Linked DNA regions of Rattus norvegicus. The protein of the gene in region 4 interacts with the protein of the main gene of each other region in a pairwise test. Links are inferred from orthologs where the notes say so. Each region holds a gene or a part of one and is shown on either strand. Other genes may lie near its edges. The genes, in order: Zfp414, Morn3, Krt18, Golga2, Spata2, Morf4l1 and Rnf135.

What was found.
Region 1: the proteins of Golga2 (region 4) and Zfp414 interact in binary tests that used the Homo sapiens proteins (3 or more experiments, as listed by UniProt). The two-hybrid records come from large-scale screens. The link is inferred for Rattus norvegicus from reciprocal best matches to the Homo sapiens genes GOLGA2 and ZNF414.
Region 2: the proteins of Golga2 (region 4) and Morn3 interact in binary tests that used the Homo sapiens proteins (3 or more experiments, as listed by UniProt). The two-hybrid records come from large-scale screens. The link is inferred for Rattus norvegicus from reciprocal best matches to the Homo sapiens genes GOLGA2 and MORN3.
Region 3: the proteins of Golga2 (region 4) and Krt18 interact in binary tests that used the Homo sapiens proteins (3 or more experiments, as listed by UniProt). The two-hybrid records come from large-scale screens. The link is inferred for Rattus norvegicus from reciprocal best matches to the Homo sapiens genes GOLGA2 and KRT18.
Region 5: the proteins of Golga2 (region 4) and Spata2 interact in binary tests that used the Homo sapiens proteins (3 or more experiments, as listed by UniProt). The two-hybrid records come from large-scale screens. The link is inferred for Rattus norvegicus from reciprocal best matches to the Homo sapiens genes GOLGA2 and SPATA2.
Region 6: the proteins of Golga2 (region 4) and Morf4l1 interact in binary tests that used the Homo sapiens proteins (3 or more experiments, as listed by UniProt). The two-hybrid records come from large-scale screens. The link is inferred for Rattus norvegicus from reciprocal best matches to the Homo sapiens genes GOLGA2 and MORF4L1.
Region 7: the proteins of Golga2 (region 4) and Rnf135 interact in binary tests that used the Homo sapiens proteins (3 or more experiments, as listed by UniProt). The two-hybrid records come from large-scale screens. The link is inferred for Rattus norvegicus from reciprocal best matches to the Homo sapiens genes GOLGA2 and RNF135.

What each region holds. Positions count from the first base shown.
Region 1 is NC_086025.1:15,120,678-15,125,309, forward strand, and holds Zfp414 (zinc finger protein 414), read left to right. Parts: upstream 1-1,742; 5' UTR 1,743-1,864; coding exon 1,865-1,867; intron 1,868-2,437; coding exon of another isoform or gene 2,438-2,473; coding exon 2,474-2,756; intron 2,757-3,013; coding exon 3,014-3,121; intron 3,122-3,230; coding exon 3,231-3,336; intron 3,337-3,747; coding exon of another isoform or gene 3,748-3,777; coding exon 3,778-4,112; coding exon of another isoform or gene 4,113-4,190; coding exon 4,191-4,255; 3' UTR 4,256-4,438; downstream 4,439-4,632. UniProt on the Homo sapiens protein: May be involved in transcriptional regulation.
Region 2 is NC_086030.1:39,183,261-39,187,156, forward strand, and holds part of Morn3 (MORN repeat-containing protein 3), read left to right. Parts: intron 1-1,123; coding exon 1,124-1,281; intron 1,282-3,265; coding exon 3,266-3,425; intron 3,426-3,896. UniProt on the Homo sapiens protein: Assembles a suppression complex (suppresome) by tethering SIRT1 and MDM2 to regulate composite modifications of p53/TP53.
Region 3 is NC_086025.1:135,034,790-135,039,185, forward strand, and holds the start of Krt18 (keratin, type I cytoskeletal 18), read left to right. Parts: upstream 1-1,378; 5' UTR 1,379-1,418; coding exon 1,419-1,814; intron 1,815-2,539; coding exon 2,540-2,622; intron 2,623-2,936; coding exon 2,937-3,093; intron 3,094-3,703; coding exon 3,704-3,868; intron 3,869-3,953; coding exon 3,954-4,079; intron 4,080-4,347; coding exon 4,348-4,396. UniProt on the Homo sapiens protein: Involved in the uptake of thrombin-antithrombin complexes by hepatic cells. When phosphorylated, plays a role in filament reorganization. Involved in the delivery of mutated CFTR to the plasma membrane.
Region 4 is NC_086021.1:35,987,978-35,991,873, forward strand, and holds part of Golga2 (golgin subfamily A member 2), read left to right. Parts: intron 1-2,428; coding exon 2,429-2,524; intron 2,525-2,770; coding exon 2,771-2,814; intron 2,815-2,913; coding exon 2,914-2,977; intron 2,978-3,323; coding exon 3,324-3,380; intron 3,381-3,554; coding exon 3,555-3,635; intron 3,636-3,896. UniProt on the Homo sapiens protein: Peripheral membrane component of the cis-Golgi stack that acts as a membrane skeleton that maintains the structure of the Golgi apparatus, and as a vesicle thether that facilitates vesicle fusion to the Golgi membrane.
Region 5 is NC_086021.1:176,622,933-176,626,278, reverse strand, and holds the end of Spata2 (spermatogenesis-associated protein 2), read left to right. Parts: coding exon 1-296; intron 297-911; coding exon 912-2,132; 3' UTR 2,133-2,665; downstream 2,666-3,346.
Region 6 is NC_086026.1:99,527,272-99,531,167, reverse strand, and holds part of Morf4l1 (mortality factor 4-like protein 1), read left to right. Parts: intron 1-402; coding exon 403-483; intron 484-2,226; coding exon 2,227-2,252; intron 2,253-2,653; coding exon 2,654-2,742; intron 2,743-3,445; coding exon 3,446-3,547; intron 3,548-3,896. UniProt on the Homo sapiens protein: Component of the NuA4 histone acetyltransferase (HAT) complex which is involved in transcriptional activation of select genes principally by acetylation of nucleosomal histones H4 and H2A.
Region 7 is NC_086028.1:65,671,318-65,675,213, forward strand, and holds part of Rnf135 (E3 ubiquitin-protein ligase RNF135), read left to right. Parts: exon of another isoform or gene 1-1,423; coding exon 1,424-1,567; exon of another isoform or gene 1,568-3,487; intron 3,488-3,896.

The DNA.
Region 1 (4,632 bases), on a different chromosome or scaffold from region 4:
CCAGGTGGGCACTGTAGCCCACCTGTAGTTTCAGCCTCAGACAGTGGAGACAGGGGATCTCCAGAGCAAGAACCATATTGGTGAGCTCTGGGTTTGATTTTGAGGTCCTGTCTCATTAAATAAGGAGAAAGAGGCATAGAAGATTATTCCCCACTGCAACCACCAGCCTCCACATGCACAAGCAACAAAGTACACATGTACCCATAATGTGACGATGCACCCACAAATACCCCACAAACATATATGCACATATCCATGTAACCACACATACAAAAATGGAAAAACAAACATTCATCAATGACTACATCAGAAACCATGGTTTCTTTCTCTTCCACTTCTCACAAGGTCTCCAGGACTTAACCAGATTCACTTTCTGACCTCCATACCACATCTTTATTCTGTTTCAATAGTGCAGAGGAGTCACCATTGCTCACCAAAGGGAGTTTGTTCTTTGCCAGCTCAGGATATGTGCCAGCTTCCCAGAGTGCTCTGCTTCCCCAAGCATAATTCAAGTCACCCCCTCAAACGGGTGTCCCCGACTCATCATTTCACAGATTTTGTTTGTTTTCTTATCTCCTGGGATAGATCCAAGATCATTTTCTGCTGTTGTTGATTTACTGTCTCTCTGTTTTCAGTGGTTGACTCCAGTCTTCCATGAGCAGTACCAAGTTCCCCCCTGGCACTTAAGGAAAGTGCACTTGGGATTCATGGTCACACCTCTCTACCTGTGGGATTTGCCTGTTGACCTAACCTGAAGATCCACAGTTACCAAGCGTGTTTCCCACATCGAGCTACTGTAACAGATTTGTTCTTACTGTAGATTAGATATGCTGGAAAATATGGTGCTTGCTAGGAAGAAGGTTCTGTGCGGACATAGGGACCAGGGCTCAGACCCACATGTAAATGAGTGTAAACACTTGGGTAAATGAGGAAGTCTGGATCCCCAGCACTCCCTGTGAGGCATGGCAACAACCTGTAACTGAGACACTTCAGAGGTGGACACGGGAATCTTCTGGCAAGTAAGCTAGCTAGATCAGTGGGAACTGGTGAGCTCCAACTTCAGTGAGAGATGTTGCCTCAATAAACAAAGTGGAGAGCAGTAGAGGAAGACAATGTCTACTTTGGGCCTCCACACTTACTTGCTCACATCTGTGCATATACATATTCATTTGTATATGTATGTGTATATAGCTAAGGATGTAGCTTGCTTTGTAGAGTGTTTGCGTAGCATATATGAAAACTCTGGGTTTGATACCTAGTACTGCCTAAAACCTGGTATATTGGCATCCAAGCTCAGGATCAACTTCTGTGTAAGGTGGGCCTGGGCTGAAACAGGGAGAAGGGGAGGGGAGAAAGCTGTTGTCAGTTTTCCCTAAAAAGTCCAATCGAAAGCATGTCTTTCGTTCACATACTCTACAAGCTAAGGCGGACTGAGAGTTCCAGGTTAACCTGACCTGGTAGACAAAAATTGCTGGTTTCTTTCTGAAATTTTATGTCAGACAGCAGAAGAAGGCATCGGATACCCCTACAGATGGCTGTGAGCCACCATGTGGTTGCTAAGAATTGAACTCATAACCTCTGGAAGAGCAGTCAGTGTTCTTAACTACTGAGCCATCTCTCCAGCCTATTTTCTGATTCTGTAGTGGGATTTATATGTACTCACCTGACTAAGAACAGCAGCCTAGTCTCAGGCCCCGCCTCCTAGAGAGGCGCCCAGAACTAGGCCACACCCCATATCTCGCGAGATCTGAGAAGCGGGAAAATGGCGCCGACGTGAGCGTGAGCCTGTGCCGCCAAGGAGGCCGCCCCTGCTGGAGCCAGAGCCACCGAAGGCACGGGAACCAGAGGTCTAACTGAGTAGAGGATGGTGAGCGCAGCATCCCGGACGCGGGCGCGGAAGAGCAGCGGGACTGATAGGGAGCGGTTCTGCCGCGCCTCCCTCCAGCGACCCCGCCCCCACATCCGGGTCCCCGCCCGCCGCTGACTGTCACTTAGTGAGCGTCCAGCCCCTTCAGTTAGGCCTGGCTTCTCTTGGGCCACGCCCACTCTCCTAGAGTTCAGCCCCTAAATTTAACACATTCTGGCCCTGAACTTCCCTGCTCAGCTCTAGCTCGACCTATATTCCCCTTCACACAATCCCCTCCTGGCCCTCCAGCATTTCCTGGTTGCTCCTCTAGGCCACGCCTCCGCTCCATCGTGCCTCTCCTGCCAAAGTTGAAAAGGAAGGGATGTTGATGATGTTCTTTTATGCATAATCCCTGATGACTCCTTCTGCAATTGGAGTTAGAAGACAGTAGCTCAGTTTGCCCTTACCTCCCTTACCGTGCTGATGACTCAGAAAGTGAAATGACTGGGGTAATATCTGGTGAAAGTGGAGGGAGTTCGAAACCTAGAGTCTTGTGGACCTTTGTAGTAGAAGGGCTTCCCTCTGTCCTAGGGATCCCAGTCTGATTCTAACCACGTCTTGCACCAGGAGGAATTATCCGGACCCAGCTCGGACACGCTGGCCACTGTAGAATCCAGCTCCAATGAGCCTGACAAGGAGGTGGCATCTCCGGATGTGGCAGCTACAGCCACTCTTTCCTCCGTGGAGGAGCCCGGCCCTAACCCAACAGCCACGCCACCAGTATGGGACCGTGGAGGACCTCTGCAGCAAGTTGCCTGTCCAGTCCCAGACAGCTGCCAGACTAGCTCGACCACCAGAGGCGTGGGGACCAATGAGGACCTTCGGTTGCCTAGACGACGTCCACCACCAGGTTATCTGTGGAGTTTCTGGGGAGTCCCATGCCTTTGATAGGACTGAGATGGTGCAGGATATCCCATTGGGGGGGTGGTCTTCACCATTTACTGTGCATCTTGTCAATATGTCAGGTATGGCTCCAGGGATGAACTAAACCAATCTAGCCCTTCCAGGAAGTTTATTCTAACAGTAGCTGGGTGGGGAGTGTTCAAGGCTTTGGGAATGAGGGGAGGTCAGTAAGGAAAAGATTAATGATACCCATTTATCCTGCAGGGAAACAAATACCCTGCTCTAGCCCTGGCTGCTCCCTCAGTTTCCCCAGTGTTCGAGATCTGGCACAGCATCTCCGTACCCACTGTCCACCCACACAGTCACTGGAAGGTAAGTGGAAGGTTGCTGATAGTGAAGCAGATTAGGGTGGAAGATAGGCAGAGCTCCCCAGGGTTAGTCTTAACCACCCCACTCCACATCTGCACTTTATCCCTACCAGGCAAACTCTTCCGATGCTCAGCCCTGAGCTGCACTGAGAGTTTCCCCAGCATGCAGGAGCTGGTAGCCCACGGCAAGCTGCACTACAAGCCCAATCGATACTTCAAGTGAGACCCTGACCATCCCCTCTGTCGATTCCCAATCTTTAGGGCTTCCTAACTGGAGGAAGGGTGGGTTGAAGTATGAGTATGGCCTGGGAAACCAGCCCCAACCGTGCATGGAAAACAGATGTGAATTAGGAGTAAGTCACTGTGGCTACAGGCTCAGTGTGGAGGTGCAGAGTACACATGCTGTGGTTCTGTCCAGTTCCACCTCATTTCTTATATGGAAAACTGGTCACCTAAGTAAAATCAAAACTTGAGAGTCTGAGCTGGAAAGATCCAGAAGACTACAGTGAAGGAGGGCATGGAGGCCAAGCTCCTTCACTTTGGGTACAGTACCACAGAGGTTCTAATGTAGATACCCTTCCCACATCCTGGTCCCTGGGTAGCAATGGATAGGCCCTTCCTGTTGCCCAGGAGACAGTCAAGTACTGTGCCTGCCTCCAGGTGTGAGAATTGCCTCCTGCGCTTCCGCACTCATCGCTCGCTCTTCAAGCATCTGCATGTTTGTATAGACCATGGTCAGAACCCAGCCCCGCCACCACCCCCTGCCCTGGACAAAGAGCCACCTGTACCTGAGCGTCCCCCAGAGTCCGACCCTTCGTCCTCCCTGGGCCTGCCATTCCCACTACTTGAGCCTTTCACCTCTGCCCCCACTGGGCCCTTCCTTCCTTACTTGAACCCTGCACCCTTTGGCCTGAGTCCCCCGAGACTGCGCCCATTCCTGGCTGCCACTCCAGGGCCACCGACATCCAGCACTGCCATCTGGAAGAAGAGTCAAGGTGAGTATAGGAGCAGGTTGCCTACAAAGCTGATTGAGCCTACTTTTATTCTGAACTTGAACTGCTTCTTTCCTACAGGTGCTACCAGTAGTCCTAGAAGACCTCAGGGCGGCTCCGATGCGCCCTCAGGTGCGTGCAGGTGACCACCAGGGACGGGTGGAGGGGCCCTTCATTCCTGTGCCCTAAGTGGGCCCTGTGAATGCTGGAAAGCAGCGGTGACTGTCCCTTAAAATACATGATTTTTGCCTTTCAAATGACTGGTATCTATGCCTTCATCTGGTATCTGTGCCAGTGTTCCTGTGTAAACATTTGTGTCTTGTTCTGTCTCTGAGTGGTTTTCTTCTATGGTGGGTCCAGGGATGGGAGGCAAATGTGGTACCTGCTGTGATGGGTAGTCAAGCCCAGGGAAAAGTCTAATCTGTCCTGGTTGACATCTACCATCCATGGTTGAAAGGCTCTCTGGAGGGAGACCCAGGACTCAGAGGCCTGCCTGCCTGCCTGCCTGCCTGCCTGCCTGCCT
Region 2 (3,896 bases), on a different chromosome or scaffold from region 4:
TATGGCCTATGTCTAGGCATGTATGATGGGGTCCAGGTGGGCACTGGCATTACCACAGCATGTGGGAGATGGTCAACGAGGAACTTCCAGAAGTCAGTCCTTTCCTCCCACTGTGGCTTCCAGAGAGCAAAGTCAAGTATCAGCTTGCAAGGCTAGCACTGTTTTCCCATGAGCCATCTCTCCAGCCCCGACTTACTTCAATAATTTCAATGCTGTACATCGGTCCCCAAAACCTTATGCTACAATAACCTTAGACTCACATCTCTCTCCCTCTCTCCTGCTGGCTTCTGGCATTCACCATGTTATCCTCTATTTCTATGAGATTGACTTCCCCACATAAAAGTAACATCACCTGGCACTGGTCTTTCTGAGTCTGGTTTATTTTTATTTTTTATTTTATTTTAGGTCTTTTGAGACAATTTGTATAGCCTAGGCTTCCTGGAACTCATTCTGTAGACCAGGGGCTGGCTAGCCTTGAACTCAGAGACCCACCTGCCTCTGCCTCCCGAGTGCTGGGATTAAAGGCATGTGCCACCACTGCATGGCTGTTTCATTCCTATATATATATATATATATCCCATTATATGATTCCTTTATAGATGGTTGTGAGCCACCATGTGGTTGCTGGGAATTGAACTCAGGACCTCTGGAAGAGCAGTTGCTGCTCTTTACCACTGAGCCACCTCTCCAGCCCTCTTGTTCATCTTAATATCCTTCCTGTTCATCTACATTGTAAAGGGCAGGATTTCTTTTTTCTTTCACTGTTGGAAATTGAATCTAGGTCCTCACACCATTTCCTGCCCCCCTTTTTACTTTCTTTTGGGGACAGAGTCTCTAGATATTGCCCAGGCTGGACTGGAACTCACCATCCTCCTGCCTCAGCCTCACCTCTCATTAAGGTTTGCCATATGGGTCTGGCTGTTAAACAATGGGCAGGGAAATCACTGTCTTTAGACATGGAGCATCCCTTTCTTCTGTGTGCTTATAGTCTAGAGATGAGGCACAGACCCTATTCCAGTTCTGAAGAAACTGTTCAGGGCAGAGGACCCCAGGGTCCTGGCATGTGGCTTCCAGCTTCAGGGTGGCAGCCACCTGCAATGTTGGCCCATCCATGTGTCCCCAGGGAAAGGAACACAGGTCTGGAAGCAGAGTGGTGCTATGTATGAAGGGGACTGGAAGTTTGGGAAGCGAGATGGCTATGGCATCCTCAGTCATCCTGACCCAGAAACTGGAAAGCTCAAGAGGGTGTATTCAGGCTGGTGGAAAGGTGACAAGAAATCGGTGAGTGGTTCCCAGCATGCCTTGCCTGTCTGTAGGTAAGGGTAAGAGCCAGGCTGTGTGTGTGTGTGTGTGTGTGTGTGTGTGAGAGAGAGAGAGCACTCAGTGTGTGTGTGTGTGTGTGTGTGTGTGTATGTGTGTGTGTGGGCCCTGTCTGTGTTTGTGTGTGTGTGTGTGTGTGTGTGTGTGTGTGAGAGAGAGAGAGAGAGAGAGAGAGCACTCAGTGTGTGTGTGTGTATGTGTGTGTGTGTGGGCCCTGTCTGTGTTTGTGTGTGTGTGTGTGTGTGTGTGTGTGTGGTGTGTGTGTGTGTGTGTGTGAGAGAGAGAGAGAGAGAGAGAGCTCAGTGTGTGTGTGTGTGTGTGTGTGTGGTGTGTGTGTATCTGGTGTGTGTGTATGTGTGGTGTGTGTGTATGTGTGTGTATCTGGTGTGTGTGTGTGTGTGGTGTGTGTGTATGTGTGTGTGGTGGTGGGGGCCTGTGTGTGTGTGGTGTGTGTGTATGTGTGTGGTGTGGGGGGGCCTGTGTGTGTGTGTGTGTGTTGTGGGGGGGCCTGTGTGTGTGTGTGTGGTGTGTGTGTGTGTGTGGTGTGTGTGTGTGTGTATGTGTAGTATTTGTGTATGTGTGGTGTGTGTGTGTAGGAGAAAAAGAAAGCAAGTGCGTGAGAGAGAGTGCCCGCTCAGAGGGCAAAGGTGGGAGGTGGTTTGCTGGGTGGGAGAAGGAAGGGGTAGAGGAACTGTAGCACTTTTCAAAACCAAGAAAACAGGAAGCAAGAGAAGTGGGGGCCCCAATGAGGAACCCTTTAAAAACTCTATGGCTGCAGGGAGGCAGCAGACAAGGTCTCCTCCACCCTCTTCCCCCGTTTCCTGGCTTTCTTCTCCTGGTACCCCATTCTGAGAATCCTCTTCCTCCTGCTAGCCTGAGTCAGATGGGAGGCTAGGACGCAGGGCATGGAGGTGCAGAGCTGTGATCTCAACAACCTGACGGTCTCCACCTTCAGGAGAGTGAGTTTGAGGCCAGCCTGGGCTACATAGAGAGCCTGACTGAAAACAGGAAACAAGGACAAAAGAAGAAGGGGTGTGGGGAGAGAAGCTAGCCAGAGGAAATTCCACAAACATTCATTCTACTGCAGACATATTAAAAAAAAAAAAAAAAAACAACCAACTTGTATTGATCCTTGCTGTAAGCATGGAGTCTGATAATTATAAATGTTGCCGTTGAGCTCTTACTGTACATGACACTTGAGTTCTTGTAACAGCTCTGTCAACATCGGTCTTCCGTTTTACTACGGAACAAGTTCAGGGAGGTGAAGCACCTAGCCTGGGGTTGGTGACACAGCTAACCAGCTGCAGAGCCCAAGATTTCATGTTCTTTGCTCCCGGCGGAAAGACTGATCCTAAAACAAATGATTTATTTGCCTTTATGGAAAGTCAGCAGTGGTTTCCCGGGGTTGGGAGATCAGGTAATCTAACCTAGAAAATACAGCGCAGGAGGTCAAATCAGAGCAGCCAGGAGCTAGCCCAGTAGACATGAATTGGTAGGAAGAAATAAAGTTACCAATCAGCAGGTCTTACTTGCTCTGGGGGAGGGAAAGAGAGTAGTGAAAAAGTGGCATTGGGATTTTGAAGTGCAGACCTTAATGCTACTTAACCAAGCCACTTTGAGCACGATCTCCAATAGCTTCCTGCTGTTAGTCTCCAAATGTAACATTTATGTTTCTAAGGAGACAGGTGAGTAGAGACTGGCTGTAATCAGAGTTGGGTGGCTGATCCTACGGGGTATAAAATATCCTTCTGATGGCTGTATAGAGGGTGTGTGGAAGTGGGGTCAGAGATAAGAGGACCAGAAAAGAGAAATTATGCGGGCGGTATTCAGGCGGTGCAGAAATGAACTGAAATATGCAGCTAGAATTCTTTGACCTCTGCTAGGAGAGCAGGAGGAGACTCAGGAGTGAGAATTGGCAAATAGTGGGACACCTTCCTGCTTTCAGGGCTATGGGATCCAGTTTTTCGGACCCAAGGAGTATTACGAGGGTGAGTGGTGTAGCAACCAGCGCAGCGGGTGGGGACGCATGTACTACAACAACGGAGACATCTACGAAGGCCAATGGAAGAACGACAAGCCTGATGGGGAGGGCATGTTGCGGCTGAGTGAGTGCCCCGCCCCATGAAACCACGCCCCAAGGCTTCCTGGCCCCGCCCCATCCCGGAAAGATCTCCTCCCACACTCGCTGCCCCACCAGCCATAATACCTGTCCCATAATACCTGTCTTGTTGGCCCTGAAAAAGTGAGATTCCGATTTTTCAATGAGGTCCAACTGAGCTGAGGTCATGGATCAGCTGGGAGGGCAGAGGCGGTCAAGTCTGTATGTCTGTCTTGAAGTCCCTATCCTCTGCAAGGAGCCTGCCTTCAGTGAGCCTCCACTGAGCATAAACTGGATTTAGAGAGCTCTTGCTAAGCAGAGCAAATGTTCCAGGAGCTTCTCATGGTCTGGACTTTGGGCGAGCCTGCAGGAATTCAGATCCTGGTGGGAGCTGGGGCTAGCTCTGGGACGCCGGGCAAATGTCTAGTTTAGTTTAGTAGTTTTTAGTGTGAGGGCCTTTGAGTCGGTTCGGCGGGTA
Region 3 (4,396 bases), on a different chromosome or scaffold from region 4:
CCTTTTCTCTCCTGGTTTTACTCTTCTATGTGCATGTACACAGAGTCGTTTCAGCTGGCCGCTCGATAAGGATCAATAAGTCCAATCCAGAGCAAAGAGCATGGCCACAGGTATCACAAACACTGAGTCCTGCCTGAAAAACGGGCTCCTCCTGCTGACCAACTCCAACCTCGGGGGGGTTTCTCCCTCTTCATTCAGCAGGAGTGGTCGTCCAGCTGGGGGGGGCGGGGGGAGTGGGGTGTCTCTTTTCCCCAGGGGATAAGCCAGAAAGACAGAGAGCATTATAAAAACTGGCCAGGAAGGAAAGAAGACTCAGGGAGCAGAAAAAGGAGGCAGATTCAAGGGAGCAACAGAAATCCGGATGGAGGGGCAGGCAATATGGTTCAAACTTAGTAGGGCGTTTCTGATATCTGGTCTAGCGACTCAGACCCCAACCTGTCCAGACACAATGGATAGGAGGGACAGTGATTTCTCACCCTTGCTGTTCTCATGGCTACTAGAAGGTATCTAGCAAATACTGGTTAAATCTATGTGCTCTTGGGCTGACCAAGTTCTCAGCTATGAGGCCTTGGGTTTGATCTTCAGCACCCTGTAGGCTGAAAGTGATGGATGTCTCATGCCTGGGACCCCAGCACTTCAAAAGTGGGACGGAATGACCAGGAGTTGATCCCCATCCTCTGCCACATGGAAAGTTCAAGGCCAGCCTGAGCTACTTGAGACCCTGTCTCAAAAAGAGAAGGGTGAGGGAAGAAAGAAAATGGTAGGTGTCCGGATATGGGATGCCTCTTCTGCATAATCACAAAGGTCCCGCTAAAGCCTCCTGGGAGTGAGTTGAGTGAGGACCTGTGTCCCCACGCGTTTGAAAATATGTATTTCCATGGTTCCCTATGGAGCCACAGCAGTGTCTTGGGACTGGAGCGAGGTGGTTGGGGGGAGGACCAAGAGACCTGCGCTCAGGTTCGTGTTTCTCTTCCTCTTCTTGAGCTCCCAATTTTCTTTCCCCAGAATTCCTGGGGTTCCACGATTGCCCCCAGACTTAAGCAAGGAACACACCACAAAATCTTCACCCTAATGGATCCCTCTTCTATCTATGTAAAAAAGATATTAAAAAACGCCATTTCCTGCCCTGAAAACAGACACTCAAGGGCTAACACTACCTGCTATCCTTTGTGCACCCATTAGTCACCCCCTCCCTGTGTCGGTGACGGTGGCAGGTATGTGCAGAAGCCAAGAAGGGCTGCGACCCGGTAGGTCACAGGAATCCCGTTCTTGGCGCCCGCGGCTCCGGTGGCGGGGGCGGGGCCTGTTGGGGAGGTCCCACCTCCTCCCTTGCCGATATAACAACAGGTCGAGGACTGCCACCCACCGCAGCGGAACTCCAATCCTGGTCTCTCGCTTCGTTCTCCTCTCCAGACAAGATGAGCTTCACCACCCGCTCCACCACCTTCTCCACCAACTACCGGTCCCTGGGCTCTGTGCGGACTCCCAGCCAGCGGGTCCGGCCTGCCAGCAGCGCAGCCAGCGTCTATGCAGGTGCTGGGGGCTCAGGGTCCCGGATATCCGTGTCCCGCTCTGTCTGGGGTGGCTCCGTGGGGTCCGCAGGCCTGGCGGGAATGGGTGGGGTCCAGACTGAGAAGGAGACCATGCAAGACCTGAACGACCGCCTGGCCAGCTACCTAGACAAGGTGAAGAACCTGGAAACCGAGAACAGGAGACTAGAGAGCAAAATCCGGGAATATCTGGAGAAAAGGGGTCCCCAGGGCGTCAGAGACTGGGGCCACTACTTCAAGACCATCGAAGATCTGAGGGCTCAGGTAAGGGGCCTGAAGGGGGAAGGGAGCAGTAGCTCCCGATTGTTCTGTCCGTCCAATGCTCCCACACCCCCAAACTTGAATAGGGTGTGGGCGATTGACTCCCTCCACTCATTCCCCATTCACCACACACCCCTACTACATGGGACCGAGTTAGGAATACTCTGGATTCCCCACCCACAACCTGTGGGAATTCCAAGCGTAGTGGCTCCACAAGGGAGCCGGCTTCCCCAAAGCAGTGTAGTGGGAAGGGAACAGGATCAAAAGCATCGCAAAAAAAAAAAAAAGGTCATAAAACGAACCCAGACACTCACTTCTTTTTCAGTGGGGACAGTTAGAGGGTTAAGCGGATGTAGCTAAGGCTGAGTCATCTAGGAGTAAACAGGAGCCTACCTGTAGGAGGGGCCAGCGGGGCGGTAGGGGGGGCGTCCCAGGACAGGGGTTTAGCAGGTGCACCTGGAGAAGATGCCAGGAAAAGAAGATCAGAGAAGTCTTGTTGGAAGCTGCTCTTTTGTAAGCAATCCAGATAGTACAGGCTCCAGGCAGAGGGGCAAGGAGTTCAGGAAGGGAGAGGGAAGATAGAAGCACTGGCCCTCTGGCTGTTCCTGGGAGTGGGATAGATTCATCTGAAACATAAGACCTGTTTTCCCACCCTCCGCTCCTACACACACACACCCTCATTTGACCCGGAACTCCCAGAGCGACTCTCTCCACTGTAATCCACCCAGATCTTTGCGAATTCTGTGGACAATGCCCGCATCGTCCTGCAGATCGACAATGCCCGTCTTGCCGCTGATGACTTTAGAGTCAAGTAAGGCTGGGGCTGGGGCTGGGGCTGGGGCTGGGGCTGGGGCTAAGAATGGCCTACTCCTGGAACTGTGTTAGAGTGGGGTTCCTTCCTTTCGGAGGCTTATCCGGGTTAGGGTCCATTGACTACTACTGAGTTAGCTATTCACCTGGGCACCCCAGTTTAAGCACACAGTCCACAGCCAAGAGTAGAGCTGAGGGAATGATACCTGACTCCATGACCGGTTTATGGTGGGCACGAGGCTACTCTATGAAGGTGGCACTGGTTGAGAAGGTTCTAGACCAGGTGGGGCCCGCTGATCACCTCCACCCCCTCAGGTATGAGACGGAACTGGCCATGCGCCAGTCTGTGGAGAGTGACATTCATGGACTCCGCAAGGTGGTGGATGACACCAACATCACGAGGTTGCAGCTGGAGACAGAAATCGAAGCGCTCAAGGAGGAGCTGCTGTTCATGAAGAAGAATCATGAGGAGGTAAGTGGGGGGCCACCGACCAGGCCTGGGAGTTAAGGGCGAAGGCTACGTGGCCCACGCTGCCCCCAAAGCAGCCTTACACGGAAACAGCAGCCTAGGCGGTTTTGATTCAGAGCAGAGCCATTGGCTCATATATGTTCTATGGCTCACCCAAGTTGTGCTGTTAGGTCAGGGTAGGTTAGGGCCTGGCTTGTGAAGCCCTACCGCTTGGAAAGCTGAGGCAGGAGAATTAAGTTCAACACACAGCCTGTCTTACTAGATAGAGTAAAACAGAGATTGTGTGAGTAAGACCCTGAATTGGAGACAAAGGTGGGGACTGCCAGCCTCAGGAACTGGCGTTGATGGCGGAGCTGCGGGCCTTCTGGAAGAAGCTTAAGGTAAGACATGTGAAAGGAAGAAGCAGCTAAAATGAGGAGAGGAGATCGCCTGTAAGGGGCTGGTTAAGGCTGCATTCTTGCCTAGCTGGAGCAGAAGCCCAGATCTAGGCCCGCCAAGAGTTTCTTTCCTGTTCTCTTCTGCCTCCGCACTCAACATCACCTTCTAGAAAACACCATCAATAATGAAAGGCTGACCTTAAGTGCCCATCCCACCTTGTGTCTGCCTTCTTTAGGAAGTCCAAGGCCTGGAAGCTCAGATTGCCAGTTCTGGGTTGACTGTGGAAGTGGATGCTCCCAAATCTCAGGACCTCAGCAAGATCATGGCGGACATCCGTGCCCAGTATGAACAGCTGGCTCAGAAGAACCGTGAGGAACTGGACAAGTACTGGTCTCAGCAGGTACAAACTAGGAAGGCTGTCTGCCCCTGTGTGAGAGGGAGGTGCCAAGGACGGCAGGTCCTGACTGACCCTCCTCATCCTTCAGATTGAAGAGAGTACCACGGTAGTCACCACCAAGTCTGCCGAAATCAGGGACGCTGAGACCACACTCTTGGAGCTGAGACGCACCCTCCAGACCTTGGAGATTGACCTGGACTCGATGAAAAACCAGGTGAGTGCCCTCCAGTTGCCTGCTGCAGTTCTGCTGGGCCCAAACCTATGATACTTGGCCTCAGCCCCAACTGTCTCATCTCTAAGCCTCCTCCACACCCCTAACCCAATCAAGAGATTCCCTAAGATGAGTCACTTCGATTTGATTTTCCTATTACTCCCACACTGTAGCCTAGCATTTGATAGACAAGAGGCATGAAGACCCTTTCAGAGAATGAAGGGTTGAGCAGGCTAGGACTAGGGACTCACCCTCCTATCTCTGTGTGCAGAACATCAACTTGGAGAACAACCTCGGGGAAGTGGAGGCCAGATACAGGG
Region 4 (3,896 bases):
CCCATCCTACACAGTGAGAGCCCGTCCGGAACCAATACCAATACCAGACTAAATGCACAGGACAAGAGTTACGCGGCCTCCAGGATGTCTAATGTAGCCACAGGAAAGTTGGTTCCCAGTGGACTCAAGGCTGGAGAAGGGGCGTTTGCAGCTACTTTGACAATGAAAGATGGGTCATGATCATACACACGGAGAGCTGAGGAGCAGAGAGCTGACAGGCGGAAGGGCACTTTTCAGAGACTCAGCATCCACGTGTGACAGGACCTGTGTTCACAGGGCTTAGAGCTGGCTTCCTGGATATAACCTAGTTCTTCAGTTAACATGTTAGGGGACATCCACCAAACAAAAGGAGCAGGCTTCTGTCCAACTGAAGGGGTGGCCTGAGCCAAGGCCACATCCTGTGGGGCTGAGGATGGGCGGGGTGAGGACTCGCAGGCTGGCATTGGGCTGTTTTCAGCCAACAGAGCTGATCCTGCCAGGTGTGGTCGGCTCAGGTGCTGTGCCTCCGTGCTCAGCTCAGACGTGGCACATTGTGCGTGTGGGAGTTGGGGGCACAGAGTTGGCATTTGTTGTGCTAAGGAGTCAGTCACACAGAGCTGGGGCTTCAGTTTCCCCTTTGGGAAATACTGACCAGAGCACCTAGCCCCTCTGTTCAGGAAGTGAAGACTTTTCATGTGTTTATGAAAACTTTCTTGAACCATAACTGACTTTCTACTCCAGGGATAAAGGAAATTGGCATCTTCTGAGTAGAAATAAAACAGGAAGTTATGGAAAAATAAAAATAGTTTCTGATGGGATGGGGTATTTTGAGGAGAGTGAAAACTTTGTAAGCACTCCATGCTTAGCTCTAAGACTTAAAATTGGGGAGTTACATGGTTCCTCACAAAGCAATTGAAAGTCTCCCAACAGTGCGTGGTGTCCCATCTTTATAATCCCTGCTTTTGGGAGGCAGAGGCAGAAAGGAGGTCTCTAGTTTGAGGTCAGCCTGGGCTCTATAGCAAGTTTGAGGCAAGCATGAACTTCAGAGAGACCCTGTTTCAAAACCTAAGACAAAAACCAAAAGGTACTCAGACAAATATTTTTATCTATTTTGTGCCTCTGTGAATGTTGCCAGGCTTAGAGATGTGTGTTACTAAGATGCTACAAGGGACCCAAAGCCTAGAAGGGTCTGTTGCTGGGAATGTCACACCTCCAGACTATCTCAGGTGTGGCCAGCTGCCACTGAGTCCCTGGTCTTACCTGTTAGACTCAACTGTAGACATTGTCAAGGCAACACCTAAGTGTGATTCAGAACTGACAGTCACATGTGTTACAGGGACGTTAGTCACAGTAAACCTGAAGAGAATGAAGTTCACACTTGAGTTCTCAGACGTCCTTTCTCACTTACTCAAAGGAGGAAATTTGGTTAGCATCTCCAGAGGCTGAGACTGAAGGCTTCAGAAAGCAAGCAGCCATTTCTTTGGAGAAAGGAATGGCCACTTCCTCCCAGAGCAGCCTTGCTGGATAGGCCTGGAATTTTTGTCCCTCTCCTTTTGTCTTCCCATCCTTTGCCTATTTGGATTGTTGGACCTGAGAAGACCTCTAAGCCAGAGACATAGTCTAAGAGTGAGGCCTGAACTACCAGGCCTAGGGGTGTGCGCACACCTTTAATCTAGCACCTGGGAGGCAAAGGCAGGCACAGCTCTGTGAGTGCAAGGCCTTCCTGGTCTACAGGGTGAGTTCCAGGACAGCAAGGGCTACATAGTGAGCCCCTGTCTCAGAAAATAAAACAAACAAGTGAGGCCTGAGCCTGAGGAGGAGCTGGGTACAGCTGGTCAAGCAGATAGTTCCTGCCAGGGAAGTGGGGAGACTTCTACAAGCTGCCATATAGGAAATCCTAGGATTGGTCCCTGGCTGCTTTTCCTAGGAAGCTTACATGATCTTCTAGATACTTCAAGCCAAAGGGCAGCCATTGTTCTCTACTTTACTCAGTTGTTTCTGAATCGACAAACACAGCCAGTGCATGGGTCTGGGAGGAGGGAAGGCAGGAAAGCAAGAGGAGAGGGAGAATGGTTATGTTGACCCTGATGATGAGTCCATCCCAGGAGCAAGACCTATAGTCAGGGGCCGTTAGCTCTCTGCCTCCTGCACTTGGCACTTTGTCTACCTGCTGTGGCTGCCACAGGTCAGAGCTCCATAGGGAACTAGGTCCTTGTGTATTCAGGAAGGAGCCCCTGCAGCCCCTGCTTTGAGCTCTGGCCCTTCAGAATGCTACTAAGTAGCCTGAGACCTGGGCATGTCTTGTCTGTACCCCAGTAGCTCCCAGCATGTGCAACTGTCCTGTGCCTGCCGCTGTGCTACCCTGCTTGCCCCATCACCTCGTGTCCGTGGCATTGAGGCCCTTCTCTCCTGCATGGTCTTCTAACCATCCTGCTCTGTTCTATGACAGGTGCCCACAGACCACACTGCTCCTGCACCACCAAGTACTGCTGCTGCCACTATGTTTCTTGGTGTCGTCCCTTCCCCCGATGCTGATCTCATTCAGGTTTGTCTTTTCTTCACTTTGCCTGACACTCTCCTGTCTGCTTCCTGAAGGACTCCCAAAGTTCTTTGAACTCTTTCTCTCTTCAGATAGCTTGGTCCAGGTGCTGCTCCGGGAGCCTGGCATGGGGAGGCCAAGCTGGGGAAGGCTTGGGAAGATGGGTGTTGAGATGAATTTGGCTCATGGTGTCCCTGTGTGACAGTAAGCAGAAGCTGAATAATGTTACCTTGTTTCTTTCTACCCACACAGAGCCACGATGCTGGCAATTGCTCTAACCTCATGGAGGAGACCAAGTAAGTGTTCCCTACTGAGGGAGTCAGGGCAGGCCTCTGCCCATGAGCCCTGTTTCCATCAAACTACCTGCACCCCTGATCTTATGTCTCCTCCCTTAGGACTTTCTCATCGACTGAGAGTCTGCGACAACTTTCTCAACAGCTCAATGGCCTTGTGTCTGAGGTACCACAGGACTGGGGTCCAGAGAGAAGGTAGAGAGGAAAGGAAGGCACAGTAGAAAACGAGGCAGGGATTCCCGAGCGGCTCTTGTCATGCTTGGAGAAGACCTGGATTTGGACCTCGATGGGCAATGTGATTTTATCCTGTTTATCCTGGTGTGGAAAGTTCGAGGTGACAGCTGTTGAGCAGCGGGGTTGAGCCATGGGGGTTTAGGGGCCATGAGGAGTGGCACAAGAGGGTGTGAGTGAACAGGAAAGCAGACTCTGCTAGTTGAGGGGGAATAGGAGGCTGCAGGGATTAGACAGTGAGGGTCACAGAGCATCTCCATGAGAGGTATTGTCTCTCCTAGTCTACATCCTACATCAACGGGGAGGGCCTCACGTCTTCCAACATGAAGGAACTGGAGGTAAGTGGCCTTGAATCATGGCCGAGCAACCCTTTACGCCAACCACCTATCTCCTCCTACAGGGACCTGGGTGCCCGCTGCCAGCTGAGACAGCCCACCACCCCCACCCCTAATGATGCTCTTTCTCCCTTTCCCCCATCCTTCCTCAACTCCTCCTCTCTGCATGCGCCTCAGAGCCGGTACCAAGAGCTAGCAGTAGCCCTGGACTCCAGCTATGTAACAAACAAACAACTCAGTAGCACGATAGAGGAATTGGTAAGAGTCAGCGGGGTCCCTGATTCTTGCTGCCAGTCCTGGGCTCCAGTTTCCCCTTTGGGCTCTGAAGAAAGGGACTAGGGGGCCCCTGGGACCAAGGGGGAATGGAAAACCTAGGGGCTTCCGTCTTAGCTGGAGGCAGCCAGAGCATAGAGCATGCAGCATGGTTCCTGTTGCTCTCCTCTCTGCACTCCAGACTCCCTCCTGAGTCTGCGCCCTCCCAGTCCTGAGCTTGGTGCCTCCAGCAGAAGAGAACACAAA
Region 5 (3,346 bases), about 140 Mb from region 4:
ATGACTTATTCCGGAAGTACGTGCAGTTCCATGAGGGCAAAGTGGACACCACCCCCGGCAAACAGTCTGGCAGCGATGAGTACCTGCGCGTGGCAGCTGCCACCCTGCTCAGCCTGCACAAGGTGGACCCTTTATATCGATTTCGGCTGATCCAGTTTTATGAGGTGGTGGAGAGCTCCCTCCGCTCGCTGAGTAGCTCCAGCCTGAGCGCTCTGCACTGCGCCTTCAGCATGCTGGAGACAATGGCCATCAACCTCTTCCTGTTCCCCTGGAAGAAGGAGTTCCGCAGCATCAAGGTGAGGTGGGGTGGCCGCCTCTGCCTGCTGCTCCCTCCTGAGTGCACGTGTCCCTGTTCTCAGCGCATGGGCTCTAAGCAGCTGGGAGCTGGTGTGGACCAAAGCCCCAGTTAAGGGGTGGGTGTGTGTGCGTGTTGGGGGTGGGGGTGAGAGAGTCTCACTTTCCATAGCAGGGGCACGGGTGAGTAGAGACTGCAATAAGCCAGGCTGGAACCCTAGCACGTTCCATTCGTTTACTTGTTTACTGTGGTGCTAGGATTAAATCTGTGGTGCATGCTTTACCCTGAGCCATGTCCCTACCTCGGTGTGTTCTTGAAACTTTGACAGAAGGCTCAAAATGCACATCTTCCATTAGGCTTAGCACACCCCCTCAATCCCATCCCTGTACTTCCTCCTGTGGAACAGAGCCTTCATACCTACACACAAACTCGGTGGTCTCTTTGGCCTCACAGGGGCCACGTGTATTCCTGGCTTGGTGGTGTGCATTTAGTGTGCTCTTGCCTGTGGTCTACAGGCAGAAGCCCCCATCTCTCCCTGCTGGTCCCGCTCTGCATTTGGTTTGAACAGGCCTCGCTATAGCATGCCTCTTTTTTTTCCTGCCCACTTTCTCCCTAGACCTACACGGGCCCTTTTGTTTACTATGTCAAGTCCACGTTGCTGGAGAAGGACATCCGAGCCATTCTAAAGTTCATGGGCTACGAACCTGAGTTGGGGACTGCATACAAACTCAAAGAGCTTGTGGAGTCCCTCCAGGTGAAGATGGTCTCCTTTGAGCTCTTCCTGGCCAAGGTCGAGTGTGAGCAGATGCTGGGAATACACTCACAGGTAAAGGACAAGGGCTATTCAGAGCTGGATGTGGTGACTGAGCGCAAGAGCAGCACAGAGGATGCACGTGGGTGCTCAGATGCCCTGCGGAGGCGGGCTGAGAGTCGAGAGCACCTGACCACTTCCATGGCTCGTGTGGCACTCCAGAAGTCAGCCAGTGAGCGCGCAGCCAAGGACTACTACAAGCCCCGAGTGACCAAACCCTCCAGGTCGGTGGATGCCTACGACAGCTACTGGGAAAGCAGGAAGCCCCCCTCAAAGGCCTCACTGAGTCTGCGCAAGGAGCCCCTGGCTATGGATGTAGGGGAAGACTTGAAGGATGAGATCATCCGCCCATCCCCCTCATTGCTGACCATGTCCAGCTCCCCCCATGGTAGCCCTGATGACCTTCCCTCCATCTCCCCCATCAATGGCCTGGGCCTTCTTCGTAGCACGTACTTCCCCACTCAGGATGACGTGGACCTGTACACGGATTCCGAACCCAGGGCCACCTACCGGAGGCAAGATGCTCTGCGGTCAGATATATGGCTGGTCAAAAATGATGCCCACTCCATCTACCACAAGCGTTCACCCCCCACCAAAGAGTCTGCCCTCTCCAAGTGCCAAAACTGCGGCCTGTCCTGCAGCTCCTCCCTCTGTCAGCGCTGTGACAGTGTCTGTCCTTCGGCCTCCAAGCCCAGCGGTTTTCCCAGCAAGGCCTCTGCACACGACAGCCTGGTCCATGGGGCACCTATGCGGGAGAAATATGTGGGACAGACTCAGGGCCTTGACCGGCTGGCAACTGTCCACTCAAAGCCCAAGCCCTCTACCACAGCCACCTCCCGCTGTGGCTTCTGTAACCGTGCAGGTGCCACCAACACCTGCACCCAGTGTTCAAAAGTTTCCTGTGACCCCTGCCTCGGCGCCTACCACTACGACCCCTGCTGCAGAAAGAGTGAGCTGCACAAATTCATGCCCAACAATCAGCTGAATTACAAATCCACCCAGTTCTCCCATCCCGTGTACAGATAGGCCCCGCCCCCCATCTTCTGCTACAAGGGCTATACACCACTGACCTGGCTTGGCAGCAGAGCTGTGCTGGAAGGGAACAGAGACTTGAGCTTGACCATGGAAGCGCCAGGGCTAACTGCTCTGTCACACAGCTCACTTGGCACACCACATCCCAGCCGGCAGCTGCTGTGTGATCTGAAGGACAGGATGGCACTTCCAGTCACTTTGCTGACCTCTCCACTCCCTGCTCAGCCGGTTTGGGTTTGGGTTCTGGTTCTGGTTCCCTTGAAATAAGGTCTCTGTCTCGGGACTCTTGCTACACCTGCCCCCCACTGCAAAGCCAGCTTGGACTGGGAAGGAGCCTTTGGGGTCACTTTCAAATCCTCATCAGGAGTGGTGAGCTAGAGGCCTGCTGGCTTGTGAAATGAGCCCTCCTGCCACACCCGGCCTCTGATGGCTCGCCTCTCTTTCTGCTCCCTTGATACAAGGATCCCTAGGCAGATGTCCCCACCCTTTGTCTCCCTCCAACTGGTATTAAAGGGGAGCCAAGTCCAGTGTTAGTTGAATCCATCTTGCCAGCTCCACTCAGTCAGCCCACAGTGTTGGCAAGCTCTGCTTGTCAGTTGGAAAGTGGACTCCATGGCAGGACGGCGTCCCTTCTGTTTGCATAACCCCTTTACTGTATTGTATATACAGAATTTGAGGTTTATTTTTAAATGAGTGTTCAACTTGCTGTGTGTTTCAACATGGTGAAAGAAATTAATGACATGATATTTATAAAGGTGCCCCGGGCTCTTTAGTCTTCCAAGGGGGGCTGCGTGCCCTTTCCCGGTGGGAGCTCGGGGTAGGGACTGATAAAGCCCATGTTTCTTCCCATGGTGGTAGAGAGCTACTGTCTTCCCTACAGTAAGTATTATACACCTACCTCCAGTGTGCACATGGGGTTAGCATGGTGCCGGGGTCTGCAAAGACCTCAGGGACAAGGTGGGGACCTCAGCCCTCACATCCATAGCTCTGGTCTTGGTGCCTGCTGAGCATGAATCTTGTACCCTAAACCTCGAATCTCAGAAGGAAGTTCAGGTGGTGGGGTCCTTCCCCTCATCTTGCCTTCCTCACTGATTCCCAGGGCTGTCAGCACGGCTCTCTGTCTTTTTGCACTAGGGTGGGCAGAGGTGGTGTGTGCTCATTAGATAGATGCCTCTCCAGTCTCAGCCAAGTATCCACGCTTTCTGGTA
Region 6 (3,896 bases), on a different chromosome or scaffold from region 4:
GAATTAGGATCTCTGGAAGAGCAACCCAAGTAAGTATTCTTAGCTGAAGAGCAGCCCTGATTTCACACTTTCTGTGGGAACTTACATTTTAAGACATTTTAACTCTTAAGAGTTAATCTGTACAACATAGACAATTTGGAACATTCTGAAAGTCCACTTATACTAACAGATAGGCTTTTGTCACTGTACAAGTCTTGCTGGCTGGGAACTTAATTACTAAGTAGACCAGGCTGGCCTTGACCTCACAGGCATCCATCGCTTCTGCCTCCAAAGTGCTGGGATTAAAAGTGTTTGCCACCATACCTGGCTGGGAAGCTCAGTTTAATAGAAATTCTAGGTGAAATCAATCAGATTTAATTTTTCTTAGATAAGTATAATGACTTTCTGACATTATTTTTGAAGGGAACAATATGCAGAGGGCAAGATGAGAGGGGCTGCTCCAGGGAAGAAGACATCCGGTCTGCAACAGAAAAATGTTGAAGTGTAAGATACTCTTTGCTTAAATATTGCATGCTGCTTTATGGGTATAATTTAAATTTACTTTTTATCATAATATATATTTTGTTTCTAATGGAAGCTTTTAAAAGTGTCAGTGAAATTCTTAATTCTCAGATACCAGGTTATTAAGGAAATGTAAATTGTTTTGGCAAGGATTACTTTCTTAGTGCTAAAAATACATGGGTAAAATGAGAGTGAGAAAGAAAAGTATAATTTGTTAACTCTGGATTGTAAGGCTTCTTGGTAACCATAATGTGAAAGTCAGTGTACACTGATCTCTAAAGGTTATGTAACTGAAAATGAGTATAGTAAGGTGACCAACTACATGATCTTTTTTTTAAGATTTTTATTTATTTTACGTGTGTGAGTACACTGTAGAGTGAGTACACTGTTGCTGTCTTCAGACACACCAGAAGAGGGCATCAGATCCCATTACAGATGGTTGTGAGCCACCATGTGGTTGCTGGGAATTGAACTCAGGACCTCTGGAATAGCAGTTGGAGCTCTTAACCACTGAGTCATCTCTCCAACCCCCAACTACATGATCTTAAATATTAGTTATACAAAAACATAGGGCACAACTATTATTGAAGGATAAGTTTTGTGTTCGTGGTTATAGGGCCACTCGGTGGAACCTGGGCAGCCTTACTAGTGGCCATACTCCTAAAGGGAAATGGCTCGCTCTTCCTCAGCAGCCATGAACTGCCAGTGGCTCCTCAACTGTAGGGCAGGTCTCATGGGCTCTTCAGTTCCTGCTGGAATGTTGGCTTGTACAAGTAACTCTAGTACAACTGTCATGTCCAGAAGTCAGCATTTCATGGCACTTTTTCCCTCCTGCTTTTACATTTGTTCCACACTCTCTTGGGCTTTGTTCCCTGAGCTCCTGGGTCTACAGCCCAGGTCCTGTGTGGAAAAGCAGCCAGTGTTCTTAATGACTGAATCATCTCTCCAGTCCCCTAGCATGTGGTTTTAACAGTTTATCTTTTGAGTACATATATACTTATAAATTTTAGCACTAGAAATCAGAACATTAGCAATTATTATATGAATTCTACTGTATACTTGAACTGCTTGCATATATGTTTAATAGGTAGCATGTAGATAATAGAAGCAAGACTGTTCAGGAATCCTTATTAGGAGTCATTAGAATGAGTGGTTTTAGATTAGTTGAGTAGTCATTCTCATATTATGGTACAGAGCTTGTGTATTAAGGATTAAGTATAATATTCCTTTTGGTTACCATGAATCATTAGCATGTACGTATATGCAAGTGAAGAAGTTCTTGATTTAAAGACTAGCTTCATACTCAAGAGATCTGCCTGCCTCTGCTTTTCCAATTTTGGGGTTAAAGATGTGCATCACCACACCTAGCCTTTTGTTGTTAAAATTATTTTTTGAACCTTTAAATTGATGTGTATATGGGGCTGTGTGTTCACAAGTGTGCAGGTCCTCACAGGGACAGGTGGATCTGAGTTCAAGGCCAGCCTGGTCTATATAGTGAGTTTCAGGATGCTAGAACTGCATAGTGAGACTGTCTATAATAATAATAATAATAATAATAATAATAATAATAATAATAATAATATCTAAAGTCAAGATTAATGTTTTGGGAAGCAGACTTAAAATATAGTCACTGATAATTTTGCTGGGCCATTTTTCTCTGAATTTACCATTCAAAGAATTGGAACAATTTTTATGGGAGTAATTTTTGTTTTTTGCTCTTTCCAGGAAAACAAAAAAGAACAAACAGAAAAGTAAGTATAAATGTTTTTAAAATTGACCTATTAATATTTCAGTTGTGAGTTCACTCTATGAAACTGACACTGGGACAGTATGTGGCTTAATGACCTCAAGTAGAGGTCTCACAGAGTTTGTAGATAAGGACGGAGTGGTTTTTATCTTGACTGCCTGAAAAGATGTGGTTGTTTTCACTGTGCTTTAGTCTTAGGGAGATAGCCTTTTAAATATGTTATTAAATATTTCCTAAGTAAAGTGTTAAATAAGTTTTTATTTTTATTTTTTTTTAAGAAAAACTATTCTATAAGTTGGATTAATTAAATATCTGTAATGGGGAAGTGAGAACTTACGACACTCTTTACATTAAGAATTTGTTAGTTAGCCAATACCAGCCCCGCCATTCTTAAACGTTTTGTAGCACCTGGAAATGGAGATGGTGGCAGTACCAGTGAGACCCCTCAGCCTCCTAGGAAGAAGCGAGCCCGGGTAGATCCAACCGTTGAAAATGTGAGTTTTCGTCTTTTCTTCTGGCAGGCTGTCCTAAAGGCCCTGGTGATCCTTCTCTACTTCCGCACTCTCTTCCCTTCCAATATTTATGTTTGAGACAGGATCTTGCTGTGTAAATGGCTAGTCTCTGCCTCAGATTTCCAAATGCTGGGGTTACTGGCACACGCTACCAAAGTGCAAAGGCAGGTTCTGGTTTAGTAACTGAAAAATTAAAAGTGTCTTTAAATAAAGATAAGCCATGTTAGCTGTGCCTAGTGGGGCAAGCTGTTACTTCTAGGACTCAGGAGGCAGAGACAGACAGATCTATCTTGTGAGTTTGAGGCTAGCCTTGTCTACATATTGAGTTCCAGGACAGTCAGAGCTACATAATAGGACCATGTCTAAATGGGGTGGGGTGGAGAAGAGAGAAAGTCATGTTTGGTATAAGCATTTGGATATCAAGAGTAAATGTGAAGAAGCTGTTAAGCTGTATTAAGAATATTCCATTTCCAAAAGAGGGAAAGGAGTCCTAATAACTCAAGACCATAATTTTTTTCCTGGCTATATGATTTCATGTATCTGTTCGCCTACAGAGCCCCACCCTGTATGGCAATTCCTTCTTTTGAGTGGTTCCTTCAAGGAATTAGTGTATACCTGATATCTTAAAGATCAAAAGAGAAGCAAAAAAAAGTTTGCAATACCTTTCTTTGCCTTTCTTCTTTAGGAAGAAACATTCATGAACAGAGTTGAAGTTAAAGTGAAGATTCCTGAGGAGCTGAAACCATGGCTTGTAGATGACTGGGACTTGATCACCAGACAAAAGCAGGTACCTTGAGAATGACACAGGGAGCGCTCAGAGTCTTATGATGAACTGTTATAATCTTGTTTTACAGGTGTTTAGTTTTTGCCTGCATGGCATGACCTATGTGCAGTGCCTGTGGAGGGCATTGGGTCTCTTAGAGCTGGAGTTGTAGGTGACTGTGATCCAGCACACAGAGTGGCGCTGGGAATTGAAACTTGGGTTCTAATGCTCTTAATTACTGAGCCATCTCTCCGATCCCTTAAAATTTTGTTGATGATTAAAAAAGTTAGAAGTTTGCTGGAGCAGAACTCTCCCAAAAACGCCAGTAGACAAAGGAGATACGTGCATCTTCAGTCTTAATGTGGTCACCATT
Region 7 (3,896 bases), on a different chromosome or scaffold from region 4:
AAGATTTATTCATTTGTTATATATAAGTACCCACCAGAAGAGAACATCAGATCCCATTACAGATGGTTGTGAGCCACCATGTGGTTGCTGGGATTTGAACTCAGGACCCCTGGAAGAGCAATTAGTGCTCTTAACCACTGAGCCATCTCTCCAGCCCAGAGTTGGGGATATCTTATTTTGTCTATGATTTATCACTTTGTCTGTCCCTCAGTTAGACATAATTTTCAAACATGGCTGCTTCCTTCTACAAACTAATTTTACCTTCATTGTTTGGGATGAAAGGTGTGTGCCAAGGGCATGTCTGTAATTCTCTCCAGAGTAGCCATGTTCCTGGATTAAAATTCCTCTACAGTTCCTGTCTTCAGTTTCACACTTCGAGGCATGCACTGTCCCCGGCCTCCTCATTTATTTTCCTGTATAGTGTTAGGATAAGACTCTAACTTCAAGCAAGGTATGATAGTGTTAGGGTCTGAATTGCTGACAAATATGCCCTAGATTCTAATAGTATGCAAAAGCAGAGTGTCTATTGAGTGAACTCCTGCATGCAGGGACCCAATTCCATTGGGATGGAAGGACCCTGACCGAATCTGCAGATTCAGTTTTAAAGCCAAAAAGAGGAACATTAGAGAGGGGTAGGTGATCTGTATCCTGATTGGTCGGTTCTATCGCTGGGGGGTCTGGGTGATGCTGTCATTGGTTAGGGTTTTGCTTCAAGCATACTTGACTGACTATTCTTTTTTTTTTTTTTTTATTAACTTGAGTATTTCTTATATACATTTGACTGACTATTCTTGCTTCATGCCATGGAGGGGTAGCTCTAGACCTCTTGGCCACAAGCTTGGCTAACTGTCCTTTTGTAAGCTGGGGAAGGGTTTCTTTTACATAAGTCTGTGGTGTTCCGGGAACTGACAGTTCTGGGAAGTGGAAACCCAGGCCTGGTCTCCTGAACTGCTAGTTTGCAGCCTGTCATGGAGTCAGCCTGGCTCAGGCGGATTCACCCCTTTCATTAGCACATCACGTTCCTTTAATCACAGCACTTTGAAGGCAGAGGCAGGTAAACCTCTGTGAGTCCCAGGCCCGTCTGGTCTACACAGTGAGTTCCAAGACAGTCAGGACATTGTAGAGAGACCCTCCCTGTTTCAAAAGCAAAACAAACCAACAGAAGAATCTAACTTTATTTGTTCATGCCATTTTCCTGATGGTGTTTGTTGAAAGGACTCCTTGCCCCTTGGAGTAGCATTTGCATTTTCTCCCCCAACCCTGCCCCCCAGGGCTGGGATGAAAGGCATCACTTTATCCAGCTATTTTTCCATTGGTCTACCTGTCTGCTTCCTTGGCATTTAAAGCTTCTTCTATTGGGGGAACTATATTCCTGGGTCCAATTTTTTTTGTGAACCAGAAGCCCAATTGTGCTCTTTTAAAGGTGACAGTACAGAAAAGCACTACACAAGTTGTCCAGGAGCTGACTGAGCTGGTGGGACAGCTTGTAGACATTGTCAAGAGCCTTCAAACGCAAAGACCTAGCTTGGCATCTGGACTGGACAATGCTCTAGGCATCCTGCACATGGTAGGTTCAGGAGGGGAGAAGGGGCTGGGGTGAAAGACAGCTTCCTGCTAGAGCTGTCCGGGAGAGACGACACGCAACAGGTCTCAGGCTTTACTACTTATTCTCTTTATTGCCAAATATGGGTGATTGGGAAAGTGGCAGGCTGGCTTTGAGTTAATGGAAGCTTTAAGTAGGCTGGGATCCATCCTTCCCACTCTACATGATTCACTCTCTAAATCCACCAACAATACCTAGGTAAATCCCACAGGTTTGAAAGTCCTCATCTTCAGTGTCCCTTAAAAATCTTTATTTATTTATTTATTTATTTATTTATTTTTGGTTCTTTTTTTCGGAGCTGGGGATCGAACCCAGGGCCTTGCGCTTCCTAGGCAAGCGCTCTACCACTGAGCTAAATCCCCAACCCCAAAAATCTTTTTAAAGATGTGTTTATCTTATTTTATGTTTTTGGGTGTTTCGTCTGCTTTTATGTGTGTGCACCGTGTGCATGCCCGATGTCTGAGTAGGGCAGAGGAAAGAGGACGATGGATCCCTTAGAATCAAAGCTATAGATGGGCGCGAGCCATCATGTGGGTACTGGGAATTGAACGCAGGTCGTGTGCAAGAACACTGACAAGCTAACAAGCTGACAAGCTAACTCTCCAGCCTCACTCAGTGACCTTGCAGAAAGTATTTTTATTATTGTGTGGAGGGGAGTTTGTGTGTGCCGGGGGGATTGTGTAGAGGGGAGGGTATGTGTGTTGAGAGGGTGTGTGTGCAGGGTCGGGTGTGTGGGGGTCAGAGCCCAGCTTTCCGGAGTCTGGGTTCCAGGAATCTAACTCGGGTCATCGGATTTGTGCAGCAAGCACCCCGCTTCCTTTTGAGATGGAGTTTTGTTGTTCACCAGGAACTCATGGTCCTCCTGTACCAGCCTCCTGAATCCTCCCGAGTTCCACTACGCTCAGTCCCCAGTTGCTTTATTTGCTTTTGTTTTATGTGGTAGGATCTCTAGCCCAGACTGGCCTTGAATTCAGTATATAATGAGAGCTGGCCATGAACTCCTGACCCTCCTTTCCTGTTTCTCTGTAGGTATGCAGTTTTTGCAACCTACTATTTATTTATTTATTTATTTATTTATTTATTTATTTATTTATTTATTGTATGCACGTGAGTACACTGTAGCTGACTTCAGACACATGAGAAGAGGGCATTGGATCCCACTGCAGATGGTTGTGAGCCACCATGTGGTTGCTGGGAATTGAACTCAGGCCCTCTGGAAGAGCAGTCAGTGCTCTTAACCACTGAGCCATCTCCAGCCCTTGGAAACAGTTCTTGGGAGAGCTTCTCTCAATGGCTGTGTATCACAAGTTGAGCTCAGCAGTGCTATGTAAGGCAAACATACAGTGCTTGTCTCCACTGTCTATGGGGCCACATTGATACTCCTTCGTCAAGCGTCCTTTCACCTGTGTCTGCTTCAGGACAACAGTCTCTCACATGTTTGCTTTAGCAAGACATCCTTCCACCTGTGAGCCCCAGCAAACAATCATTTGACATAAGTTTCCAAAGACCTAGAAGCTTCCACTTCGTTTCTCAACGTTTCCTTCTGGCTGTCTCCAATACAGCGCAGTTCCTCTGGGGAGTCTCCATCACTGTCTTGGTCTCATTCTTCCAAACACACAAGTCAAAAGCCTGGAAGTCATGACACTTCCTGTGCCTTAACCTGCCTAGCAGAGCACTGTAGCTCCAAGGCCAGCTGAAGATCTTCCAGCTCTACTCATGCCTGAGCTCCTCTGAGACTTCTCAAGTCCAGGCCGATGACAGTCTCTTGCCTGGGTTGTCATCGTAGCCCTACAGATGTTCCACTTTATCTTAGTTAGCTTTCTTCATCTAACTCATCCACCTGAAATACTCTGACGATGTCTGAATAACAGTGATAACCGGCTTCTGAAATGGAAAAAAGTTTATTTTAGGTCACTATGTATAGGAGTCCAGGGGCACTGGCAGGAATATGTGGTAGGGCAGAGCCTCACAACCCCAAGGCGGGGGAGAAAGGAATGGGACTGTGCTTCCAGCAACCCTGACAACCTTGCTCCACTCACCTGCTGAAGGCCTCACTGCCTCCCAGTCCCCTAAATCATCGCCCTCTGGGAGAGTAGCCTTCACCGATTTCCTTGAATGAATCAAACTCCCTGTCAGAGACTCTTAAGATTTCACATGCCTTTTTTTTTTTTTTAAGATTTATTTATTTTACGTATGTATGTACACTGTAGCTGTCTTCAGACACACCAGAAGAGGGCATCAGATCCCATTACAGATGGTTGTGAGCCACCATGTGGTTGCTGGGATTTGAACT